Caenorhabditis elegans: one gene and its partners. The protein of the gene in region 4 interacts with the protein of the main gene of each other region in a pairwise test. Each region holds a gene or a part of one and is shown on either strand. Other genes may lie near its edges. The genes, in order: smut-1, hcp-1, mes-4 and mut-16.

Evidence for each region.
Region 1: the proteins of mut-16 (region 4) and smut-1 interact in a two-hybrid assay, tested with the Caenorhabditis elegans proteins (one study listed by BioGRID).
Region 2: the proteins of mut-16 (region 4) and hcp-1 interact in a two-hybrid assay, tested with the Caenorhabditis elegans proteins (one study listed by BioGRID).
Region 3: the proteins of mut-16 (region 4) and mes-4 interact in a two-hybrid assay, tested with the Caenorhabditis elegans proteins (one study listed by BioGRID).

The regions. Positions count from the first base shown.
Region 1 is NC_003283.11:6,095,334-6,099,589, reverse strand, and holds smut-1 (Synthetic MUTator), read right to left. Parts: upstream 2,486-4,256; coding exon 2,353-2,485; intron 2,306-2,352; coding exon 1,778-2,305; intron 1,731-1,777; coding exon 1,225-1,730; intron 1,177-1,224; coding exon 1,009-1,176; intron 927-1,008; coding exon 699-926; 3' UTR 507-698; downstream 1-506. Other genes in the region: crt-1 (Calreticulin), read left to right, coding at 1-120, 176-418; Y38A10A.7 (N-alpha-acetyltransferase 40), read right to left, coding at 2,687-2,843, 2,895-3,233, 3,279-3,379.
Region 2 is NC_003283.11:6,592,281-6,599,713, reverse strand, and holds hcp-1 (HoloCentric chromosome binding Protein), read right to left. Parts: upstream 5,521-7,433; 5' UTR 5,489-5,520; coding exon 5,438-5,488; intron 5,381-5,437; coding exon 4,779-5,380; intron 4,735-4,778; coding exon 4,233-4,734; intron 4,184-4,232; coding exon 3,881-4,183; intron 3,830-3,880; coding exon 1,916-3,829; intron 1,869-1,915; coding exon 1,605-1,868; intron 1,553-1,604; coding exon 990-1,552; intron 941-989; coding exon 712-940; 3' UTR 506-711; downstream 1-505. Other genes in the region: ZK1055.6 (Protein F37C4.5), read left to right, coding at 7-459; ZK1055.2 (Nucleotide-diphospho-sugar transferase domain-containing protein), read right to left, coding at 6,080-6,293, 6,340-6,458, 6,506-6,673, 6,718-6,782, 6,831-7,053, 7,098-7,180.
Region 3 is NC_003283.11:13,432,521-13,439,357, forward strand, and holds mes-4 (Histone-lysine N-methyltransferase mes-4), read right to left. Parts: upstream 5,026-6,837; 5' UTR 4,994-5,025; coding exon 4,978-4,993; intron 4,929-4,977; coding exon 4,662-4,928; intron 4,611-4,661; coding exon 4,354-4,610; intron 4,305-4,353; coding exon 3,730-4,304; intron 3,682-3,729; coding exon 3,378-3,681; intron 2,948-3,377; coding exon 2,597-2,947; intron 2,319-2,596; coding exon 1,917-2,318; intron 1,864-1,916; coding exon 1,732-1,863; intron 1,367-1,731; coding exon 1,214-1,366; intron 1,162-1,213; coding exon 922-1,161; 3' UTR 530-921; downstream 1-529. Other genes in the region: srd-17 (Serpentine Receptor, class D (Delta)), read right to left, coding at 10-194. UniProt on the Caenorhabditis elegans protein: Histone methyltransferase. Dimethylates 'Lys-36' of histone H3, a specific tag for epigenetic transcriptional activation. Plays a central role in early development and is responsible for all H3 'Lys-36' dimethylation until about the 40-cell stage.
Region 4 is NC_003279.8:10,078,572-10,086,174, reverse strand, and holds mut-16 (MUTator), read right to left. Parts: upstream 6,017-7,603; 5' UTR 6,014-6,016; coding exon 5,774-6,013; intron 5,730-5,773; coding exon 5,607-5,729; intron 5,566-5,606; coding exon 5,386-5,565; intron 5,340-5,385; coding exon 5,215-5,339; intron 4,763-5,214; coding exon 4,371-4,762; intron 4,321-4,370; coding exon 4,198-4,320; intron 4,153-4,197; coding exon 4,040-4,152; intron 3,960-4,039; coding exon 3,530-3,959; intron 3,331-3,529; coding exon 3,022-3,330; intron 2,972-3,021; coding exon 2,911-2,971; intron 2,861-2,910; coding exon 2,788-2,860; intron 2,253-2,787; coding exon 2,134-2,252; intron 1,826-2,133; coding exon 1,102-1,825; intron 809-1,101; coding exon 656-808; 3' UTR 467-655; downstream 1-466.

The DNA of each region.
Region 1 (4,256 bases), on a different chromosome or scaffold from region 4:
AAGAACCCAGCCTACAAGGGCAAGTGGATCCATCCAGAGATTGAGAACCCAGAGTACACTCCTGATGATGAACTCTACTCTTATGAAAGCTGGGGAGCCATCGGATTCGATTTGTGGCAGGTAAGAAACTTTTATTCTATTTTTCAAAAATGAAACTCAAACTTTATTTTTTCAGGTCAAGTCAGGAACGATCTTTGACAACATTATCATCACCGACTCTGTTGAGGAGGCCGAGGCCCATGCTGCCGAGACTTTTGACAAATTGAAGACTGTTGAGAAGGAAAAGAAGGAGAAGGCCGACGAAGAAACCCGCAAGGCTGAGGAGGAGGCTCGCAAGAAGGCCGAGGAGGAGAAGGAGGCCAAGAAGGATGATGATGAGGAGGAGAAGGAAGAGGAGGAAGGACACGATGAGCTCTAAGCAAATCGTGCACAGCTTTTCAACTCGCTTCATACAATCGCCCCCACTCCATCACAATTCCCCCGCATTCAAGTCTCTCCTATTCTCTCGGGTTAATTGATTGTTTTATTAATTTATTGAGCATCCATTTTGATGCTGGATAGCCTTTCTTGTTTTATAATAAAAAAATTTTAAAACCTATTTACGAGTTCGATTAGTTCAATGAATATAAAATACAGGATCAGATACATAGAAAAGCGATAAAAACCGGCACAAAATAGGAAATTGATATGTGATTCAATTAAAGTGATTGACGCAACTTCAGCCATTCTACAAGCCAATTGGGAAGCGTTTCCTCGCATTCGAGCATAAAAGAACACAGCTGCTCGATAATATTCGACATTGGTCCGCCAAATAAATGATGCTCATCGATGAGGACAGTAGCTCTTCCACCACATCCATCGCGACCAACTCGTCCGATTCTATGCATGTAGCTCGGAAAATCGGTGGACATTTCCATGATTATTGTCTGAAATATGTGACTTAAGATAAAAAATATTTGGGTCAATAGTAGCCATGTTTTTATCAATTTAATATATATGTAAACTTACCTGTTTCACAGAAGACACATCGATTCCTCTCGACATAATATTGGTACATACAACTCCATGAATGTTGCAAAACTCCAAATCATTCAAAGTGATTGCTTGTTGTTGTTTCAACACACTACTGCATACAGGTTTGAAATTATATCCCATCTGACGAAGTGCCATAGTTACCTGAAAATGTTCTCAATATTTTTAAAATCGAAAGAATAGGGGTAAAACCTGAATAACTCTTGAGACAGTTTCACAGAAAATTGCAATAGTATGCTTCCATGGGCCTTCTTTTGTGCTTCCCATTTCCTTGAGATCATCATCTAACAATTTACAAATAATATTCATCTTAACGATCCAAGGATTCGAATGGATATCATTTACTCGCTGTCCACCAATTCGAATAACTCGTTGAGTGATATATCCAGGCAATCTCGGACAATGGATCAGTGACCATGGATTTTCACCTAACATTCTTGATTGACGTGAAGTTAATGCAATTGAACCATCTTCGTTTCTGTTGTGAGACGCAGAAAAGAAACAAGATTGAAGATTTCTGAGCACATCCTCTTGTAGTTGGTCTAAAACCCAATCAATGTCATTTCCGAAGCATGCAATGTCAATCATTTTATCAGATTCATCCAAAATCATCATTTTCAAATTGTCAAGAAGAATTGTTTTATCCTCGATCGATGCTTTCAGCTTTCCCATCGTACAGAACGCAATATCGCATTGATCTATAAAGAATTCGTTTTTTTTTGGTTAGACGAATGCTGTAACGAACCTTTTGTGAACTGATAGCTAGCAACTAGTTTTTCAATTTTAATATCTCGAATAGGTATAATATCTTCCATATCTATCAAACCAAGAAGAACTTCACAACGATTAAAAAGTTGTTCAACGAGTGAGTTGGTATTTGCAAGAATAAGAATAGTTGGTGATGGCGTGGTTGAAATATTGGTAAGCAATGGTCGCTCCCTCAATGCAATTTCAATCGCCGGAATAAGAAACGCATAAGTCTTCCCGATTCCAGTTGGAGCATCCACTAGAAGTCCTCGGCGGTCACGAATAGCTTGAATTGATTTTTGTTGAACTGCATTCAGAATATGAACTTTTATTCGTTGCAAATTGGCGGCAAGTCGGTGATCTTCTATTGCATGTGCAACCATCCTCTCTGTTCCATAATCAGCTGGAGTTTCTACTCCGTCTTGATCCACCATTATCGTGTTCTCCTCACAGTGTTTATTCAATTTGTCAGTTTCAGCTTTTGAAGATGTGACTGCGCCCAACTGCTGATGACGATCTCTCATTGCTGAAGAAAAGTTATTGAAATATTTAATTGCCCAGAACATGGTTTACCAAAATAATAATCTCTAGTTTTAATAGATCTGAAGTTGAGTACATTTGCATACTTTGGAGGAACTAAATCAATGTGCTCAACTTGTACCCGACTATCGTCTAATGCATCGGCAGTGTTCCAAGGATGAGGCATCTACAAAGATTATTACAAAAATGTTTATATTTTGGTTTGAAAATAAATATTTGAACGAAAAGTAACGGTTTTTACGACACAATATTATAAAAGTAGAAATATAAAAAACGTTTGTTTACCCAAAAAAAAATACATGTAACAATTAAGCCAGAATGAAGATGATAACAAATTAGAAAATCATAGAATCAGAATTTAATATTCTTATGTGCTCGGTGTCTCTTTCGACAGGATCGCATAATCCAGACCAGAATCATCGGATGGGCACGTCACGTCGCTGTTGTATCCATGTTTGTGAAAGAAGCCGAGCGACGGTCCATTATACAGAAAAACTGTTGCCATGACTTTACTCATGTTTGTCCTGAAAATAAGAGTTTTTGTTTATTGGCTCTCGAATTAATTGAAACTGTACTTTGAAGAGAGCTTTTCCAGCGTGTCGAGCATCATGCCACCGATTCCTTTGTTCTGATAAGCCGGTACAATTTGAAGTTCCCAACAATATGCCACAGGAATGTTGTGATCGACCACAAATCGATAAGTGGTATAGCCAATTTTATCCCCTTTCGAATTCTTCGCGATGATGAACCTTGATGTTGTTGCACGAAGTTCGTTTCGCTTGGAATTTTCATCGTATCCCCACTGGGATTTGTGATACATATCGTACATGTTCTCTTTGAATAAACTGAACACCCACTCGAAGTCTTCATCACTCAAATGTGTCGCCCACATGTAATCGAATTTGATAGTTTCGCTGAAAATAATAAAGATTAATTTGAAAATCATTCAAAGATCCTACCCATCAGTTGTAGTACTTCTTTGTGTCTCGCATTCGAATTTCTCAACTGGTTTTATGTGCTGACAAGCTTTTTTGACCAATTTTTTCGAGTCTACGGGCATTTTTGGGCCGATATCTGAAAAATTGTTTTACAATTATTGAGAAATAAAACATGATCGATTATACTGGTGACAAATTGATCAATAAAACCGTAAAGAATACTGAAAAGAAAGGATAGAATCATTTGAAAAAAATGCATATAACTTGAATGTCGTATATTGTGGTGAAAAGTGTGCAAACACCATCACGTCAAGTCACGGATTTGCTTTAAATTAACATTTATATGTAAAAATTAGTCTTTATTGATAAAAATATCGTTAAAATGTACAATTTTGTTGATAATCGGAAACAAATTTACATTTCGTATGTTTTAAGTTGTAATATGTCTCCTAGCTAATATTTTCAGGGTCATTCTTCGCTGTATCATCTGAAATTGAATGCTAGTTAGATATTTTCAATTTTTATTATTAGAAATAAAACAGCTATCCAGCATAAAAAACGATGTTTAATAGAAATATACAAAAAGTGTTACGACAGCACGTTCTTAACCATGCGAAAAGTTCAGAAGTCTGAGACCCGAAGAACTCGGGGGATGTCCAATTGGGGGGATTACCAACTCGGGGGATTGGCCCCGCCCACAGAACCGTGGCTTGCAATACGCCCATTTCTGCAACTGCCGCACGGTTTTAAAACTGTATTTTTCTCAATAGAGCGAGAAATAACAAGAAAAAATAATTTTAAAACCGTGCGGCAGTTATGAAAAACCGTGCGGCAGAAATGGGCGTATTGCAAGCCACGGTTCTGTGGGCGGGGCCAATCCCCCGAGTTGGTAATCCCCCCAATTGGACATCCCCCGAGTTCTTCGGGTCTCAAAAAATGGACGAAAATTAAAATTGCTGTCATACTTCAAACTGAAATTCGTTTCGAGAGTCAAGCCCG
Region 2 (7,433 bases), on a different chromosome or scaffold from region 4:
TTTCAGAGTCACATGAAAGATGTGTCACCAGGTGAACGATTCACCTGTTCTCTAGGCGTGGACACGGCCATTCGTATCGAATATAAGCCAGCCAAAAAGTTCCATGAAGAAGGCGGTTACATCACAAAACATTCAACTCATGCCACCGAGCAGACGATTAGTGTAAAGAATACAAGAAGTGGACCGCCTGTACTGTTAACAATCAAGCATCATGTACCACGTAGCACAGATGAGAAGATACGTGTGAAACTGACATCTCCAGTTGGCATTACCTCTGATCAAACTGATCAAATTAATTCAGAAAACGCTGAACCAAATGTTGGAATTATTCTGAACAAAGATAACAACTTGGAGTGGACTATCAAATTAGACGCTATCAGTTCGAAGGATCTATTGATTAAATGGATTGTTGAACATGCGAAAGGAGAGAACATCGAACTTCGCGAAAATTTGCAATGATAATAATCCTGTGAAATTTCTGAGCTGTAATATATCACTTTTTCACTATAAATGACGTCACCTTTATTCAGGATCTTCTTTGATTGTATTTTAATGAGACTAAAAATCGTTGATAAATTTAAAAACCCGTTTATTCTGACCCTAAAAGCAAATAATATTTGACAAGTAAATATGGGTTCAGAACGGGTATTCATGGCACATATGTTAGTGGGGGACGGTGAGAGATCTAGTGGGGTGAGAGAATCTTATAGCCTATTGGTGTTGGCAGTTTGATCGATTCTTCTTCGATGGAGTTTCGCGAGCCGACTTCTCCAAAACGTGATCCTCCGGATGATGATTTGAAGCATCTATCTGCCGGGCAGTAGTATTCGACATGGTTTGAAGACGATCTTGGAAGGAGTTCTGCGCATCTTCGAAGGCATCCTCATGAGCAGAGTTTTGCGGTTCGACAAGTGAGCTTTCGCGGCTCAGTTGTTTCACACTGAAAATAAAACGCTCAACTTGTCAATTTTAATACATGTTCAACTCACCCAAGTCTTGCTTGCTCGATCAGTCCCATTACTCGTGGCGGCGTCTTTACACCCTTCAGCTGCTTGATCTCGGACTGAAGTGTCATGATCTTGTCCTTATACTCCCGCTCGTCATCATCAAATGCATCACAAACTTTCTCCAATCGCTGGATTTCGATTTCAGCCCTCACCAACTTTTCCTCAAGTTCCAGAATACGAGAATGTGCTTGTTCCAGTGCTTCCGACTGTTCTTTATTTTCAACTTGAATCAAAGTGATGTCGTGTTGAGCTTGTTCTTCGACTTCAATGACACGACGGTCAGATGCTTCCATCTTCTCATGCATTTCTCCAAGCTGTCGTTGCATTTGCGAAAGCGATTGAGTGAGAGTGCCGAGTTGCATTGCCTGCGACTTCCAGACATTTGCTTCTTCCAGGCGAGCCTCAAACTGCTGTGAGATTGTTTCGATCCGCGACTCCAGAGTAACAATCGTGTTCTCTTTCTGAGAGAGTGCTTCCTCTGCAGCCTCGAGTTTTTCGTTTGCATTGCTCAAAGACGAGTTCCACTCCAATCGGATCGATGCTTTCTGTAAAATTTATCAATAAATTTGGAATTAAAAAAATGTCCGTTAAACTAACCTCCACTTCGAAAGCTTGCACGAGGTTTAGCATCTGCTCCTGAACTTTTTCGAGTTCTTCGACTTTCTCCTGCTTTGCGTTTTCGGTGTCAGCTAGGGCCTTTTGTGCAAACTCAATTGATGCTTGAAGCTCTTTAATGCGTGAATTCAACTCCTCTGACTTGGCTTGAGATTCTTCGATTGTACTCTGTGATGTCCGAAGAGTATCAATTACGGATTGGAGGCGTTCTTGTTCTTCCTTGTGCTTTGCAGCTTGATCCGCGTTCTGAAAAAATACAATTTTATAAATATAAAAGAGAAATTTCGTCAAACCTCAACATCTCGGCTTTCAATCTTGGCCACTAGTTCCGCAAGATGTTCTTCTTGATCCATCATTGCCTTTGTAGACTTTTCTACTTCTCCACGAAGCTTATCAATAGTCTCAGCGGAAGTCCTCGTCAGTTCAATGAGCTCGGCGTTTGCAGATTCCAACTGAGAAGACATTTCGGATAACTGATCCATATTCAAGTTAGTATCAATTTCCATCTGCTCATTTTGACTTTTCAGCTCACAGATTTGCGATTCAAGTAGTGACACTTTGTCGGTGAAGTCTTGGATGGTTTTGCTTTTTTGAACGTTTTCAGCTGTACTACTCTCGATAGCAGTTTCTAACTCCTGAATTTTACCTTCCAACGAAGTTACGAGATCAGAAGATCTGCCTTTTTCTTGAACAGCAGCGTCAAGTTCAGCACGAAGAGCTTCATACGATTCACCTTGTTCTGATTTAAGAGCTTCCATAACGACTTGAACAGCATTGGTGTCCTGGCGAGCAGTTTCAAGCTCGCTTTGAAGATCAGAGACTTGCACGTTTAACTCTTGAACCCTGGCATCTGAAGTTCTCAAGTCTTCCTGAAGACGATCAGTGAGATCCGAAAACTGCTGAGCCAAGTCGAGTTGAGATTGAAGCTCCAAAACCTTACCGTTGGAATCCTTCAAATTGGCACGAAGATTGTTTAATTCCTCCAAAGGTTCCTTCAAATTCTCCAACAAAGATTCCAACTCTTTGACTTTATCTTCAGAAGCGACAGCATCAGCCCGAGTTGATTGCATTTCTTCTTGGAAGGCGGTCAATGAAGCTGTCATTTCAGAAATCTGTGCTTCAGACGAATCCAACTTCAACTGCATTTCCTTATTCGCTTCAGTGATGACAGAAAACTCCCGACTAGAAACTTCAATTTGCTGTTCGAGTTCAGACACTTGAATATTCAATTCTTGGACCCTGGCATCTGAAGTTCTCAAGTCCTCCTGAAGACGATCAGCGAGATCCGAAGATTGCTGAGCCAATTCGAGTTGAGATTGAAGATCCAAAATCTTATCGTTGGAATCCTTCAAATTGGCACGAAGATTGTTTAATTCCTCCAAAGGTTCCTTCAAATTCTCCAACAAAGATTCCACCTGTTTGACTTTATCTTCAGAAGCGACAGCATCAGCTTGAGTTGATTGCATTTCTTCTTGGAAGGCGGCCAAAGAAGCTATCATTTCAGACATCTGAGCTTCAGACGAATCCCATTTCAACTTCATTTCCTTACTTGCTTCAGTGATGACAGAAAACTCCCGACTAGAATCTTCAATTTGCTGTTCGAGTTCTTCATTCTTTGCTTTCGACATGGCAAGATCGGCTTGAAGTTCTTCAAAATTCCTCAGAGAAAGTTTCAACTCTTCGTTTTGCAAATTGGATGACTGAACCTCACGTTCAAGCTTTGAAAGCACCTCAATAGAAGACTGAAGTTCGTCAATCTTTACTCTTGACAGTTCAATATCCAATAAATACATTCGATGAGCCTCTTCCATCTTCAACTCCAGATTTTCCACCTTAGTGACGGCAACATCAGTTTCTTGTTGTGAAGATAAGAGTTGAGCAGCCACCATCTCCAATGAAGACGTTAGTTCCGCAATTTTTTCGTTTGAAGATGTCAGATGTACATTCAACGAATTGTTTTCATCAGACTGTCTCTTCACTTCTTCCAACTGCATCTTCATCTCAGAAGTCAATTCCTGGATTGTAGCTTGCGATGCCTCCAACTGTGCATTGGGCTCACTCGTGGATCCTGACTCAAGTTTTGCAGCTTCTAACTGGTTCTCCAAATCAGAAATCTCTTTAATCATGAGCGATCTGAACTCTTCGAGTTGTTGCTCGAGCTCCACAACACGAGAATTATTGGTGGCTTCAAATCGCAGCTTTTCGACCTGAAAAATAAAAATATATATATTGATTTGTGATTATTCAATTAAGCCAACCTCTGCTTCAAGGCCGTTCACTTTTTCCTCGGCATTCTTGATGTTTTCGGAAGCTTTTTCTTGTACCACCATTAACTCTGCTTGAAGTTTTTCTTTGTTCTCAGACGACAGTTGCACCTCCAATTCAAGTTGTTTGATCTTGTCGTGAAATTCTTGGATCTCCAAGTTTGCTTGTTGGGATTTGAGGGCGAGTACTTCTGCCTCCAGTTTCTCCATATCCTCAATCATCATCTTGCGAACAAGTTCGTGCTCATACTTCAGCGATTCACTTGTTGTTTGTGATTCGGTGCGAATCCTTTCCATCTTAAAAATAATTAATTAAATTTACTTCGGCAATAAATTCTATAAAAACCTCTTCACTGAATCTCGCTTCTTTCTCTACTAGATCGCGCTGAAGACTTTCGTTCATTTGTTTGGTATTCTCAAGCTGTTTGATTGCTTCTTGATGGCCTCCAATTAACTCCCGAATCCGATCTTCCGAAGCAGTCGCTCCTTGTTGCATCGAATCTACTTTCAAAGCCTTCTGGGTCAACTCCTCGATTTGAGCGTTCAGAGCAGCAAGATTGTGTACCAACTGATTCTTCTCTTCGTCAGGCTCTTCCAGCTTCAAGCGTAACTCCTGAACTTGTTTCTCGAGAACTTGTTCTCGTGCCTTAGCGGCTTCGCGGTCAGATTTTGCCTTTTTCATTGCAGAATCTACTTGCTGAGTCAGCATCTTTTCCTCAAAAATTCGAGCTTCTTGAATCTCACTGAGCTGTTGACTGTGACTTTGACGGAGAAGCTCGATCTGCGACTGAAGAAGTTTGATTGACTCCTCATGCTCGGAATTCTGCTCCAACATTTCAAACTCGTGTCTGAAATTATTTTGTTTTAAGCTATAAATACGACAATTTCTTACAGTGAGAAGTCAATGTGACCTTTGACAGGAAGCACTGGGGACTGGGGGACATCTCGGACTGGCTTTGTAGGCTGATCTACTCCTTTGGCGATTTCCGTGAGAAGCTGTGGATTAGATACTGTTGGAGTACATTCTCGGCTCAGAATCTGGCTCATTGGAGTACGAGAAGCAGTAGGCGTAGTCTCTCCGTCAAGTGCCAATTGATTATCGAAATCATTGGACAGTGTGGCATCGGCGTCCGTCTCGTCGCTTTCTTGAACCATGCTCAGGTTGCTCGTGCAATTTGAGGTGTCGTAGAGCTCAGATTGTTCTAAATTCACATCAACATTGCTGCCCGGAGTGATGGAAGCATCGTTGGTTCCCACGAAGGATGCATCATCAGTAGCCAAAGCTGTTACTGTAGACAAATCCAGTAGACTTGTGTTGTCGGCAGGGGTGATAGAAGAAGCAGAAGACGGGCGGGAATCATGCTCGAGGCAGGTCTCCTCCAGGTTGCTATCGGCCATATTGCCCGACGAAGTTCCAAAAATGCGTTTCGGTTCTCTTCCTAGTCGTGATTTAGGCGTAGCGGCGGAAAATGGCGACTCGGTTTGCTGGCGCTTCTGAAATAATTTATATTGTCATTGATTTAATTAAAATTTTGAGAAAATTCAACTTACATTTCCAGCTGAGCGCTTGTTCTCGTTGTCGAATATCGGCGATTCGTCCATTGTGAAAGAAACGTCGATTTATCTATAAATTAGCAATAATGATTATGGAAATTACACAAGGGATATTAAAAATCAAAAAGGGCGCGTGATTTGAAAAAAGGAGGAAAAAAGTACTAAACAGGAAATTAAGGGGAAAATAAGTTTTTAGAAATATATCTATTAAATACTGCGTGTGAAACTTTTTGACGTTATGTGGCAACAAATAAAGTAACAAAACAGTATTTTCCAAATGTCAGATAACTGAAAATGAACGTTCATGAATAATGAATGAATGAACGAAATGAAAAGTGCCGGATTCCCGCGCGTGGTGATTCAAAATTGAAACCTTCCCGCCATGTGCGGTGGAGCACGGTTGCTCTTACCGACCATAAGGTCAAAATATAATAGGTCTACAAGTGAAAATCGGTATATTTTATTTATTTTGCAGTTTGTGGCCTTGTAAAAATGGGGTTGATTGGAACAAAAAAATTAAAAACCATCGTTTGCGTTTTATGTAGTTTTCACAAATTTTTATTCCAAAAATATATCTTGTCTTACAATTCAAGTAAATATACATACACAAAATCTGAATTTAAAGTTTAAAATTGCTGGTTACTGAAACAATAAACCCATCATCCGGATATAAGACAAAACTTGCTGAAATGCAACATTTTCTTCGAACATTCTCAGGCTTTTCAGAATTTCGTTTTTATCTCCACGAAGTCGTGAATCGTATGACCATGTCGAATTTTGAGGACTACATTTTTGAAGATCTATAGGCCCACTCAAAGGATTATACCAAAAATCTCGTCCCATTTGGCTAGGCCTGTAATACTTGAATAATTTTTAAAAAATTCAGGTAATTTGCCAACTCAAGCTTCACATTCGGCGTTTCTCTCAATTGATTCGTTTTCCAACCATGGAACATGAAATCTAACTCTGGATGCCACATCATTGATGTCAGCCAGCCGTCTTTAGCCCATCCTGTTCCCTGTACAGTTAATATTGTAGATGTTGTGGTATTAATTTTAAACCTACTTTTTTCATAATTCTAACTTTTCCAAAATCAGTGGATACGCCAAATATTGCTCGGATACATGACTCGTAGGTGAAGAGATCATCAAAATTTTTAGAATTGTTATAAGCTTTTTTGCATACTTTCGTATTTGCAGAAGCCTGTGGGAACAACTTTTCGGCAAGGAAAATCTAAACAATAAAATAAAAATTGAAATAGGAAGTTACCAAGTTACATGAAGTGCTCCATTATCCGTTCCATGAAAACTATTTGGTAACTTGTACTCATAATCAGCAAACTCTGCAATTTTATTAAATTCATCACAAAAATTTCGAATAAAAAACTAACCGTTTAATAAATCAATAGCATATTGAGTATTTCTTGCAATATAAGATCCAGCCATGATCTCCCAATTATAGAATCTATCATAGAATGTAACATCAATTCCATCATCCAAAAACTCTTCAATTTTTCGCTTTGGATTCACAACACCAATATCAGCGTCTAAGAATAGGATCGCATCAAATAATGGGAGAATCTTTGCGGAAACACAGTGGCGGCGGAAAAATTTCTGAAATGTTAGCTTTTTTTAAATTAAAAAAAATTAGAACTTACATCTTTATGAGCACATTTGAAATCAGTATCAACTGCGAGAACAAATTCATAATTATGGATTTTGCAGTAGCAACGAACCGTTTCTGAAAAATAACAATAGAACGTCATAATAAAACATTCCAAAATGTTTTTTAAAGTTTTTAAAATTTCCAGTCAAAGTTTTGGAAAATTGGCAAATTTTCGAAAAATATGGGCTTTAAAGAAATCCAGGGCAATGTGGCATGTTCCAAGAATGTTTTAACATAAATAATTAAAAAAAAATTAAAATATTAAAAATCCTTTTAAAAAAACCAGTTTTTTTACTTTTTTTAAATATTTGTTTTTTTAAAATCTGTT
Region 3 (6,837 bases), on a different chromosome or scaffold from region 4:
GAAATTTACCGAATTTGGATGAACAAATCCAAAGCACACTCGAAAAAGTCGGTAACAGCAAAATTGATAATCAAAGTTGCATACGAACGAATTGTCTTCGGTGATTTATAGATAGCCATGTAAATGAGCATTAAATTGAATGAGCATCCAAGTAAAGCCCATATACAGTGCCATATTTCAAAGAACGCGTGCATTATTGAATTGGCAAATGGTGCAAGACTGAAATTTTTAGAATTTTGTCGTATAACAAGCGAACATAAAATAATTAATGAATGAATTATCGCTTCCGCTCAAATGGTTTCAGTCTTCTTTCAAGAAGTCTATCCGAAGATCCTTTGTTATTGTGCATAGGGAAATTAAATGACACGTGGTTTCTCAATAATGTGCATTTTTTTACTTCCGAATCAAAATCTTTAGCAGTGATTCATCGACTCCAATGTCTTTTTTCAAAACAAGTCGTTCCATTGTGTTCTTCTTAATCTTCTCCAGTTTCTCTTTATCGTCATAAAGCAGCGCTTAACTCTGTTTTGTAATTTGCAAAGGTATTTATTACAGATGAGAAAAAAAAGTCGTATTTATCGATATGATGGGACGCAGTAACAAGAACGAAAGAACACATAGGGAAAAAAAAATGACAAGTGAATGAAAGCAATGGTTAAAGCAATAATAAAACCCCTAGTTTAGTGTGAAAATAATTTTCAAAAAAGATGAATAGGAAAGTCTTCGTTATTCTTTGAACGTTGGTCAAATGAATTTCAGCGTTTCCAAAAATTGTGTCGACAGTCCAGGAAAAACTCATAGTACGATTAAAAAGAATGAGGGCACTGTTGATTGAAACTAATTGAAGTAAAATCATAATTTAGTACTTGGAAGACTATTGGAAAGAGTTCAATTGGGCGAGACAGCATATTATTTCACTTTTCAAATCGGTTCAAACCGTTTTGTCTCTTTTTGAACTCGTCCACGAGTAGATATTGCTCTAACTTTGACCTCCACAGTATGAGGTGATGGAACTGATTGTGTCGACAACGCTCGTGCTTTTGTGATAGCCGACTTGGTTGCAGGAAACTCTATCGCTTTTCCGGTTTCTTGAATTGTTTGCAATGATGGCGTAGCTCGTTTCACAGGTGGCGCTTCACTTTCCACATCATCTCGACGGCTCTGTGAATATAATCGAATATAATCGATATTAATACTAATATGATTATCGTACCTTTGATTTTTGTGCCCGTGGTGTTGAAGATGAAGCTGCGCGCGATCGCGATGAAACAGGGCTCAAGAGTTCTTGCGGTTTTTCGTGGAAATTCAACTCTGTAGATGTACTCAATGTTGATCCGGTGTCGGCTACAGGTTGATTGGAATTCTTCTGAAAAACAAATTATGTTTAATGGCTATGTACCTGAATTGAAAATTCGATTTAGACCAAGTTAACTCTAGCAACCAAGGGTGCCATCAAAAATCGAATAATTAAAATTTTCTATTTCCGAAAAAACTCGAAAAAAATGTTTTAAAAATTAACCATAAAGTTCTTTTTTTTTAAAATCAAATTATGTTTATGTTGATGAATAAAATAAGAAAACATTTTTTTAAATTTCTCTCTAAAAAGAAGAACAATTACAAAATTTTTGAAAGATATTTTTCGTGAAAACGAACATTTTCGATTTTAGTGAAAAATCGAAAAACCGACATCATTGCTGGCAGCAATTGATCGATTTAATCTCCAAAAAATACCTTTAAATTTTTCTTATTCTGGGAAATTGGCCATGATGCTTGTTGGACGAAGGAAGTGCTCGACGCGGAGCTTGTGGATGGTTTCGAAGGAGAAATTTCTGATTTCTTAGATGCGGTTCCGTTCTTTCCGGCCTGAAAATAAGAAATAAAATCAAAATGTTGAAACTTAGAAAAAAAGTTGGTACCTCCTGGCTCTTTCTATTCTGATTTTTTACAGATTTCTTCTTGGACGATTTGTTCTTTTTAGCAGCTTTCTCGGAACTATCAGCCACTTCCGGTTTCTCGCGTTTCGCTTTTCCCATTGTACCCATACAGTTTTCAGCTCCACATTCACAGTCTGGTAAGTTCTCCTCATTGTTCATATTGTAACTGAACGTGATCTCGTCGCCGTCGTCAATAGTGCGAATTGCCCGAATATAACTGCGAGTATCATATAAACTGCCTTCTTTGGTTTTCTTAACGAACACTTTTGTAACGAAAGATGCAGCGTTGGGATCGCAAGAATGATTGATGTATCTGGAGATGTTACCGTATCTGGCAGCGTCCACGGTTAATCCTTTGTGCAATTCCATCATATAATGGTTCGCCTTGAAAAAAAAGAGTATTTGGAAAGTTATACGTTGATAACTTAACTCTGATATTTTGCTTCTTAGACCTAAATAGCCCAAATCTACCAAATTTCGTATTTTTTTCTGAAAATGACAATTGGCAAAATATAAAATTTTAGCTGGAAATAGGCATTTTCCCAAAACTTTGAATCGCCGTAACTTTTTTTTGAGAAAATTTCAGAACGTTTTGTTCTAAAATTCGGTTAAAAGAAAAAGTAAAAATTCGTGTTTTTATCGCAAAAAAACTTTTTCCTTACCTGGAAATCTCGCGAAATTGAAACCGAATCCAAGCGCCTCTTCTTTTCAGCTTTATCGATTATTTCTCCAACGTACTCGCATATGTATTCGTCTTTTTCGATTTGACCTTTCGCAAAGACACCGTATCCTTTACACAAAGTGGCTGCCAGTTTGATTTTCTCGCTAACTATTCCCATGGAAACTTGACGATTATGACAAACGCCCTTTTTCGAACAACTCGGGGGACATTCATAATCATCGGCGAGATATTGACACGACAGCTTTGTACAGCGGTCAGCTCCTTCACAATTGCAAACTTCGTTGTTGTGATACTCTTCCAGTTTTGGTTCGCATTTGTAGTACACAGATGTCTGGAATTATGAAGAAATTGCTATAAATAAATCTGAATCGGTTAAAAGTAAGAAAATAATTGTTAAGTTTTTCGGCAATTTTTAGCTGAATTTTTCTGCAGCACTGTTTGCACTTTTGTCCCAAAATGGTCTAAAACTACCAAATTTCGTAATGAGACATTCTCATTTTCCTCCAAAAAGAAGTTAGACGGTTCAAAATTTTGGAAAAAAATGACATTTTTTCAGCTAAAATCTCAAATATTGCAGATCTGACAAATTTCAGAACTTTTTTGTTTTTTTAATTTTTTAAAAGTAATGTTCCGTTGGTTGAGATATTAACTTTCGTCGGTTCCGCAATTTTAGCTGAATAAAAGCCTTTTTCCAAACCGTTGAAAAATACAAAACCATAGTCCGAATTAGATATTTCCTGAAGAATCAGTAGAATACTCACTCTCAGTCTTCCAAATACAGTTTTACACACGTACGGGCATCTCTTCAACGCAGTATCTGCTTGTTCCTCATATTTCTCTTCCCACAAGTTTCTAAGCGTCGAATTCTTTGCCAACGAAAAGTAATTCTTGGTAAGACGGGCGATATCCGAGACCGGCACAATTGACATGAGAGGTTGTTTCTCTTTATCATTTTCTTGGGGTATCAGCCACTGGACAACAGTATATCCAAGACGTTCAAAGTTGATATTACCACGATTTCCAGTAGGGTACTTGTACCAATCGAGTGTTAATGCTAGCCAGAATCTGAATAGAAAATACATGAATTTGATAATTCTGATATTATAAACGCACGAATTGTCCGTCCACTTCGCGAGAATCAATGTATTTTGCGGAATCGGATCTCCACAAACACACGATTCGCATTGATCGTCTGGTATCGGTTTTCCATTCAGCGTTTCCACTTCTCGACATCCAGAATGAAACGATCGGCAACAAGTCTTGCACATGATTGTTTTTGAATTCGAAGATTTCTCACATCCAATTACGCAACACGCTTTGATATGGGATTTCATTGTAACATCCGCTTTCGGAACAACAGTGACGGCGTTTTTTCTTTTTTTATGTTTATTGTAGAATTGAACATCAGCACCAGGTAGATAGTGTGCTGGACAAATTATCATTTCGAACTTCTCCACTTTCCCACCAATTGTTATCGAAACATTCAAATCTCGGCCACCTGATGGATAACACGACGTCAAATGGAAAGCGCGGAGACAGAGAGCACATTCTGCAATATCTCCAACATAAGCCGATTGCTTGTGATGGTCCAAATTGCAACTATTGCAGCAATGAAGAGGGCACAGAAGTCTTGCTTGGCATTCGAGTCGGGCTGCATATTGAAAGTGAAAGCCGCCACTGTTGTAATTCTAAAAGTTTACACGATATTTGATGAAGAAAAATAATCGAATAGCTTACGATCATACAACTCGCGTGAAATTTACTACGACAAGGAAACATTGGTATATTTCCCAAGAGACGCTTGCCGTCGTCCATTTCTCCATTGATGTATCCATGACATGTGATCAAATCAGATTTTCCGGTTTTATCCTTCTCTTCGTGGCAAATCACGCATTTTGAGTCAGCATCTGGAAGAAACTCTCCTTCCGCGTCGGCTTCAATCGGGGTGAATGGCGAAACACTCAGAAACTTTCGTGGCACGTGGGTGAAGGTAGCTGGAAAATTGAAAATTTAATGGACTGCCTGGAATTAATTAATGAAAATACTTTTTGGATAATCTGTGTCAACGAACTCCTCATATTCACTAAGAAATGCCTTCGTTTCCTGTATTTGCATCGAAATAATGTCTTTGGGAGCATTCGTTAGAATCGGTGCTTCTTCTTGCTTGTCTTCTGCATTGGATGAGGTTTCGGAACCCGCGCCTTGTGGAGTAGCATTCCGTTGTTTAACGTTCTTCTTTTTAAAAGGTTTATTTGGTCCTTCTTTCTCAACGATACCGTCCTGTGGAGCACAGTTCTCTTTGCTGGAGTCACCTGGAATTCGATGCATTTTTCGACCTGATTTTCGATTATTTAAACTCACCAGAGCTCGGCAGCATAATTTGGCACCAAGCGCGAGAAGTAAGCAACTCTGAAAATGAAATTAGAATATGAATCGACTTTTTGACAAGTATTAATAAAAGAAAAACAGAAAATGAGACGTTATTCAAGCTGATCGAGGACACATTCGAAAGTCGCGCCTTACAACGATACTCCAAAATGACGGAAGCGCGAATTGTTTAGTTTTTGAGAAATATATGCATTTTTAAAGGAAAACAGCGGAAAACTATCAAAACGGTGATTAATGGAGATTCTTAAGAAAAAAATTTATAATTGTGCGTCCATAGGCTGCGGAAAACGGGAATTTCCCGCGGTCCGAGGCGTCTACAGTGAGAGGGGAAAACGAGGGAGTTTTTCGCTTCGCAATTGGTCAGTTTCAAAAAATTGGGCGTTTCCAACGAATCAGAGGCTGCAAAATTTCAAGCTGAGCAATGAAAAAGCGAAAAACTGCAGGCCCCACCTACTTTTGAATTTTGATAGAAAAAAGGCGAAGAAACTGCACTATGGACGCCTCAGACCGCGAGAAATTTGAATTTCCGTTTTCCGCAAACTATGAACATTCCTTTTAAAAAATATGCCAAGAAGGTTCGAAATCACGGGAAATGCAAAGAAAATCGCTTGCAAAATCCCAAAAAATTGCTGCAAATTTGATTATGTAAATAAGGAGACCCGAAGAACTCGGGGGATGTCCAATTGGGGGGATTACCAACTCGGGGGATTGGCCCCGCCCACAGAACCGTGGCATGCAATACGCCCATTTCTGCAACTGCCGCACGGTTTTAAAACTGTATTTTTCTCAATAGAACGAGAAATAACAAGAAAAAATAATTTTAAAACCGTGCGGCAGTTGCAGAAATGGGCGTATTGCAAGCCACGGTTCTGTGGGCGGGGCCAATCCCCCGAGTTGGTAATCCCCCCAATTGGACATCCCCCGAGTTCTTCGGGTCTCCTATATTCACATCATTCTCGCCATACCTGTGCGGCATTCGGCATTCGGCATATGCCGATGCCGGCATAATGCCGGTTTTTGGAGCACGGCATATGCCGTTATGCCGATTTGAAAATTCACGGCATATGCCGAAAATGCCGTTATGCCGAAAAATAAAATGACCGGCATAACGGCATAATGCCGACATTATGACGGCATTATGTCGTTTTTTTCTGCATTTTTGGCTTTGTTGTTTTTTGTCAAAAACCATATTTTCATAATTTTCGTGTATCCGACGAAACATAAAGATCATGCAAATAGTAAAGTTTCTACGCAGATTGTTCCATTTTTGAGATTTCTTGAAGCTTTTTGCTCGAGCATTTGGAAAATTTCTGCAACAATTTTGGCTTGACTCGAAAATTGTCTGAAAATGCACCAATATGTTTCAAGGCGTGTACATTAAAGGGGGAGTACAGTTTGTGGGTATTTTGCTTAAATAGACTAAAACTGGTCCAAAACCACCGAATTTCATAATGAGACTTCACAAAAAATTTCCAAACATTTTTATGGCCGGTCAAATTTTCGAAAAAAAAAGAGCCAAACTTTGCTAAAATCTAAAATTTCGCACACTTTTCTTTGTCACAGCTGCTGAATTTCTGTTTTTCTGAAATTATCACCCTTTAATCCTTATTTTAGTAATTTATCTCGCGGAAATTCGTTGATTAAGACAACTTTTGGGCCGATAGGCATCCAAAAATGATCAAAATTGGATGCCTAGCGGCCCAGAAGTTGTCTCCATCAACGAATTTCCGGCGAGATAAATTACCAAAACAAGGATTAAATGGTGATAATTTCAGAAAAACAAAAATCCAGCAGCTGTGACAAAGAAAAGTGTGCGAAATTTTAGATTTTAGC
Region 4 (7,603 bases):
AATTTTAGTTTCAAAACCGTCGTAGTGTGTATCCTTTTTTGGACAACATTTTTCTCCAAAATAGTTTCACCAAAATTTGCAAAATTTGTCATTTTGTGTTTTCTTGTATTTTTCCCCTACGTAGTTGCACTTTGTCATTCGTTTTAGTATAATTATGCTGTAAATACGAGCTATTTTCTCTTTTTGAATCTAATATTTCTGAAATTCCAAAGAAAAGGAAAACAGTAATTAGATTCAAAAAGTTGCCAATTCTGAAGCAATCACCCCCAAATACTGAAAACGTGCATCCCTCATCCTCCATCCAGTGCCTTCGTTCCAATTTTCAACCCGAGTTTTCCCTTCATCCCTTTCCCAGAGACACGTATCCCTGTTTTGAATTGTCACCGTCACCACCAATATTCGTGCAGTATTATTATTATCAGTTGACTCCCGGTTCTTCTACTTTTTATAAATATTAAAACACAAATTTGGACTCGTAAAAATATTAATTAGGAAAGTTTGGCGATTCAAGTATGAAAAAACAGGTAATAATCAGTAGGCAGTCAATAAGAACGAAAATTAAAAAAAAAAAACATGGGTTTAGAAAAAATGAAAAAATTGAGACGAGTGGGTGAATACAAATAAAAATGGAACAGTAATAGGAACAAGTAAATTCTTAGTTTCGGATATCATCTTTCAAAACGACATACGGCTCAATGTCACCTCTTTCCACTATAGCAACCGATGAAGAATCTCTAATATATTGGACAATATCAATGTACCGAGGAATAGCAGGACGTCTGCTCACTTCTGTTCTCAGTTCTTGTACCTGAAAATAATTCACTTTTAACGAAAACCTTTTCATTAAAAAAACTTAACATAAAATTGGTACAGTTACTCTAATCAAGAAGTCTTTTTGAAAGAAAAAACATGGCATTTTTCGAAGTAAAAAGCTTGTTTTAATTATACGAAAATATAGTGTAGAGATGATTTGAAAATACTCTTTATTTTTAAAGATTTTTTTCGTATGTGTCAATCAAATTTTCTCGTAATACTTTTTATATAATTACTAATATCACATCGTAGAACAAATTGAAACTTTCAACGAAAATTACTACTTACTGTCAATACTGTCAAGTTCATGCTTCGATAACGGAGAATTATATCTCTCAATTCCTTCTCAATTCCATCTTGAAATATTAATTCCCTGTTCGATGGCTGACGATTCGAAGAGAGAACACTAAAAGATCTTTGAGCTTCCGGTTGATGGTTTGATTGTCCTCCGTTTTTATTAAAGTACGGCGCAGAATTTCCGTTAAAATTGTCATATCCTTGTGGTTGTGACTGATGAGGCATATGACTTCCGTGATGGTCAAATTGATGTGGATTTTGACTGTATCCGACTGTCATTCGATCTCTTTCATAATCAGCAAGTTTGAAGTTTCCGTGTGGATCGTATTCTGGAGGATTTGGTGGAAACTGATCAGGTGATCTTCTTCTTTGTGATGAATGATCTTCATGATAAACTGATCTACTGCCATAATGATTGAATTGTGGATTACATCCATAATTTGGATCGGAAGAAGTCGGACCCTGATTCGGATTGTACGAATTTTGATATCCATTTTGATTGATATGAGGTTGATTGCTCATATGTGATGGTTGTTGGCCAACGTGATTATAAGCAGGTTGTGGCACTTGAGAATAATTAAATGGAGAAGGACCATGTTGAGGGTTGTTCTGAATTGAATTGTATGGTGGATACTGTGGTGCCGGTTGTTGATAGATTGGTTGCTGCTGATTAACTGGCGGATACTGTTGGCCGTGCATCGGTTGGTGGATTGGCCTGAAAAATGTTAGTTTTGTGAATTTTTCTGTTTTTTTTTCTCAATTTTAGCAAAAAAGGATATGTCTTTTGCTTGCATGAAAACCCCAAGACTACAATTATTACGCGAATTGTTTTACATTACTTTTAAAGATGGTCAAATAATATCAAATTTCTTGAAAATATTGTCAAATTTATGAATTTATTAACCGAAAAAGAGTTTTTTTATTTCGGAAATTTTTGCGAAATCTTATCAAAAAATTCGATTTGGGTCCATTTGAGCGTTCTTTATTTAACTTTTGGAATGAATTTTTAAGTATAATCCTTACTGTTGATGATGTATTGGTTGAGGCGCATATTGATGTGGTTGAGGTTGTTGTACAGGAAGCTGTGGCTGATATGTTGGCTGTTGAGGGATATATGGTGCACCCGGATGAGAGTTTTGATACTGAAAAGATAATGATTATGACTTCAAACTTGTAGGATTTGAGAAAAAAACGAACATGGTTAAAGAAATATGGTTCAAATACCCAACGCATCACTTCGAAAAGTTTCTGACTGTGTTGGACAATAAATTAATGGAAAAGATCTTCAGTCTTTTAAAAGAATGTCCCAATTCTTGTTCACGTGAACAATACTGTTTTCTTTCAGTTTTTCTGTTAATTTTTTCTGTCTTCCAGAGAACTCAATAAATTATAATTTCACATTTCTCTCAACTTTATCCGAACTGTGAAGCAAAACTATTTCGAAAACAGCAAAAATAGATCGAAAATGTAATCATGTGAACAATTTTTCGCAAATTTTCAAATATTTGTTGTAGATACACAGTCAAAGTTCTCAAGACTACGGTCATTAAAATTGGATCACTATGAAATTTCAGTGGTACAGAAATGCACGGAGGCATTAGATTTTTCTAACAATTTTTTCTAACGTAAGTGTGGATAGAATGTTTAGACTTAAAATATTATTAAAAATGAAATTACCACAGCTGTTTGCATTGGTTGATTGGCTGGTTGACTTTGGTTGACTGGTGGTGGTGCTGGATGTGATGGCAGTCTGCAATAATTTTTTTGGTAATTGAAAGATTAAATTTTAAAGCTAGGAACCTTCTGTTGATGAAACCATTGGCTGAAGGTCGTTCTTTCAAAAGCGGATTCCGTACAGGCTCTGAAACTGATTTTAGGCTATTAAGACGAGTCCTAAACTGCTTAAAATACCTTTTGGCGCAACTTTAATCGGTTTGTGCGTATCCGCTGGTGTGAAAGGAAGTTGAACATTGCGTCTATCCTCGTCGTGATTCGATTTAGAGTAGAAATTTCCGACTTCTCTGAGTGGAGCTGGATTCTCAGGTGGAACGACGACTTCAGGACGTGTCGAAACAGGGATTGACGGTGCTGCGGTCGTAGAAGACGATTCTACTACTGGAGTCGGGAGAGCTACATTCACAGTGTCAACTGGAGGTGTATTGGAAGTGTCAGTAGCAGATGATTCTGATTTTTTCTTGTACGTATTGAATCGAGTCTCAACTGAAATAGATTTTCATAAATTTAATAGTTCAAATTGGTGATTTTGGAAAATTTTTGTAAGGCGGAATATCGTTGGTGTTTGAAAGTTCAAAAATTTAAAATAGTCTCAAGTTCAGAAATACCACAATAGAAAAATGAAAAAAAACGAAGCATCATCCCCATTCACTAAACTCCGCTTTGGAAATGATAAAATTCGTACTTTTCGAAGGAGGTTGCTGCTTAGACTTCGTGTGCTTCTCACGACTTCTTAGTTCTCTTTCCTGTTTCTTTTTAAGTTTATCCTTTCTTCTTTGACGCTTAATCTCCTTTTGCTCGGGATCTTCATCAGAGTAGGATCCTTCAGAAGTGATTTCACTATCTGATGTCGTATCACCGACATCTTGAACACGCTCACCACGATCTCCATATGAAGGACCACGGTTACCATTGGTGATTGTGCTTCTGCTAAGAGCTGGTGCTCCACCAAATGGATTCGGAATCGCGGATCGTTGAGGGGCTCCGGACGAAGTGCCTTGGCCCATTAGTGGATCTGTTTCCATCACACGATTGACTGGAGAAGTGGGTGCACGTGGAGGACGAGATGTTGACCGATCAGTATTTCGATTAAAGTGCGATGAAGTTGTTGGTTGCTGAAAATCACATAAATTTCATTTCTATATTGCACACAAAGAATTTTGTGAATAATGAATGTTTTTTTTATCGCACTCACCAACGATCCATCATCATCTGCATTGTTAGAAATGCCCCCAGCAAAAGTCGATGGTTGATAATTCGGATCTGGTACAATTACATTTCTGCGTTGTTGTGGACCACGACGATCATCTAGAAAAGAAAGATTTTTAGATAATCACAAAAAATGCAATGTACCTGATCTCTGTCCACCGGCCCTATAATTGCCTTGGCTTCCGTAGTTCTGATTTCTCTGATTGCCGGTTTTCCATTTGTTCCTAACATCCGCAATATGTTCATCAGTGAAAAGAACAACTGGTCCTGAATGAACAAACGTTGAAAATAAATCGAAAATATTTTTAGTTACTCACGGTTTCCTTCATCGTCAGCTCTAAAATAGAGTTCTACAGTTTTGCCGTTGGCTTGTGAAACCACAATTTCAGAAAATCTTGCAGTTGTTAGAAACTTCTTCAGTGTTCCTCGATTTGTATACTCTTTGAACCAATCATTATTCCACAGTTTTTCTGGATCGAGTTGAAGAATATCCTTATATTTTCGAAAAATATTCGCATGTGCCGCACCAGTAACCATATTTGTATAAGCAGTTGAAAGAATTTGATATTTAACTGAACGAATGCTATATTCATTTCTGACAGCCATTAACAATTCCGCAATCATGTTGAATGTGAGTAGAGTACGAATTTCCTTCTCTTCGGATTCAAATGTATCTGCTTCCTTTTTCTTCCTTTCCTGGCGTTTGTGCCTGCAAATTTTATACGCCATTTCGAGGAAACACCACCGATCGAAGAGACTGTGTTTTTTTTGTGGTGATTTGGCAAGGAGAGCTCAGAAATATTTAACTTATATATTTTTTTTTTTTGTACTGAAATATTTTCTTAATTTCTCTCGTGAATCGGCACAATAGTCATTCGATTAAAAAAAATGGAATTTGAGCAATTTCGCTATTGATTTTGAAAAAATATGTTCAAAACAAGAATAAAATAATTCAAATTCGATTATTCCATGAACATAGGGAATTATATCGATTTACGAGAGCAATTATGACGGGGTTTCAGTGCAAAAAACAAATTAATTGCTGTTTTTAACAATAATTCACATAAAAATTTCCACAAAAAAAGCCTGTAATAGCGTCTCTCTGATCGCCGGTGCCTTATTTCGAGTCGTTCAGAGCTTTTCGTGACAAAAAAAACGCACTGTTCTTCGGATCCATTCATCAACGAAACAACAGTCTCACGTTCTGAATCGGAAATGACTGGAAAGAATGCGCCCTCTTTGGACTGCAGCCAACCTCCTCGTACAAGTGCATGGGCGTGTTCGGTCTGAAAACAATTAAGTTATAGTCTCCCTATGCACATTGTAATTTACCTTGGAATCGTTTGGAAGCTGAGAAATAATTTCTGGAGGAAGCAATAAAACAGCTGTTACTTGAAGACTGTATCCCATACAAGATTTCAAACAATCATCCAATTCATCCGAGGAGTATCCAGAACGGAATTTCAATGGATTGCTCAGCAATGAAGAGCTCAGGAACAGCTGAAGATCACGCTAAACCATTAGGTCACGAGATCATATAAGTATTTAAATACCTTCATGATTTCTGGATTACTTGCATCGCTGAAATCATAATCGGCGTTATCATTTCTTCCGATGACGTTTTGTATAAGATTGTCCGGTATCGTTTCTGGTGGAGGTTCATCCATATTGTCATTCTGAATCAGAAAATAAAATTGAAATATACGAACACGAATCTTACCGCATAGTAGGCATCCACGTCAAAGTCATCGTCTCCTGAATCCAAATAACTATCGTAGTCATGTTCACCCGATGAATTTCCATAGCTATTAGTGTCATCTTCAGTTCGATTTTGCATGGGAGTTTCTTCACGATCAGTTTCCGTATACGAGGCGGGTGGTGGACCAACAACGATCCCCAATGGATCGATATATTGATCGGAGATGTCTAATTCCGGATAATCATCATCACTTTCGGACATTTTCTGCAAATATCGAGTATTTGAGTGGGTTGAAACGTTTGAACGGCAATAAATGAGAAGTAAACGATAATTTGCTAGAGGCATTAAAGAAAACTTTCTATTCCAGGAAGTATTACGATTCTGGGACAAACAAGCGAAATTTGTAATAAGGTCTCTCAATAATATATATAATAGCTAAAACTTCAAGTCGTGCACTGTTGCGTTAATTCATTTCATTTTGAGCCGATAAGTCTGCAATAAACAATAATCATAGATTATAAAGATTTTTAACAGTTAATATTTTGTTTTGTTTTTGAATTCGGAAGCTTGTTCTTCAATTTCCAGTGCTTGAGATTTAAATGAAATTCGATCTGGAAGGCAATTTTGAAACAAACTGATTGGAAAACTGTTTAAATGGTTTTTTCAATTGAAATAATGATAAAAAATGTTAAGGAGCAATAAAACGCGTTCTAAATATTCGATCGGCAAGCAGATGATTGACGGTTATTCATTGAAACGTCGATAGAGCGCGATTGCATTGCGTTCAGGAAAAGTTGAATTTCTATCGAAAACAAGTATTAGAATTGAAGAAAACGTTTTGAAACTAAAAAATCATCTAAATCGGCATGTTTTTTAAACTAATGAACAGTCGCTTCATTAAAACATAACAGAAATTTGTTTGTATACGATAAACTGGCTTTTAAAATTGAAAAATATATATATAAAATCAAATTCACCGGCACATTTTCTCAAACCGATCGACAAAAAAGTACTTTAATTTTCCGAAAGAACTATTATGAAAGTGTATCGGTAAATAGTTTATTTTTAGGCCACAAAAGGATCAATTAACATGTTAATTAACACCTTCTGTTTCGAATTTTATCGCTTTTTAGTAATTTTTTGAATAGCTAAACAATAATTACTTTGAAAACGAAAAGAAATAACGAATATGGTGAAGTAAATCGCAGTTTTAAAAGTTGAAAAGGAGAAAATACATTTTTCAAATACAACTCAAACAAAGCGGCGCTTCTACTACGGTCACACTCATTTCACGTGTATGATTTCAAATTAAATCGTATGTAGTTTTAAAATTTGGTTAAGATTTCAGATTTAAATATTTGAAAGCTTTAATAAAAAATTATTGAAGACCATATATAATTTTTGAAGGCTATAAACCTTAATTTTTAACGAAAATATTAGAAAAAAGTTTCAAAGCATTAAAATTAATTTCGCGTCGGGACCAGACGCGCACTCACCACAATGTTCCTTAATCAAAATTAGTTTCTGTATCGGCGGGAAAATTGAAAATTCATTTTGAGCATCGCATAATCTCACTCACCATATACATTCAACGACTAATCGAGTGAATAAATCGATCGGAAAGGACATTTACAAGTTTATCTGAGCGAATTATGACCGAAAATCCTATGGAAAGTGCATTAAAAAAACTTTTTCCAGTGAAATATAAACAAAAATTAGCTGAAAAATACATATAAGAAACTAGTTGAAAAAAGGTTGGTACCATTGATCCTTGGCCCCAAGATACACCCCATTTTGTCTACTGGATCCTTTGTCACTTTGGACACTTTGTCTCCAAAGAACCTACGTCAC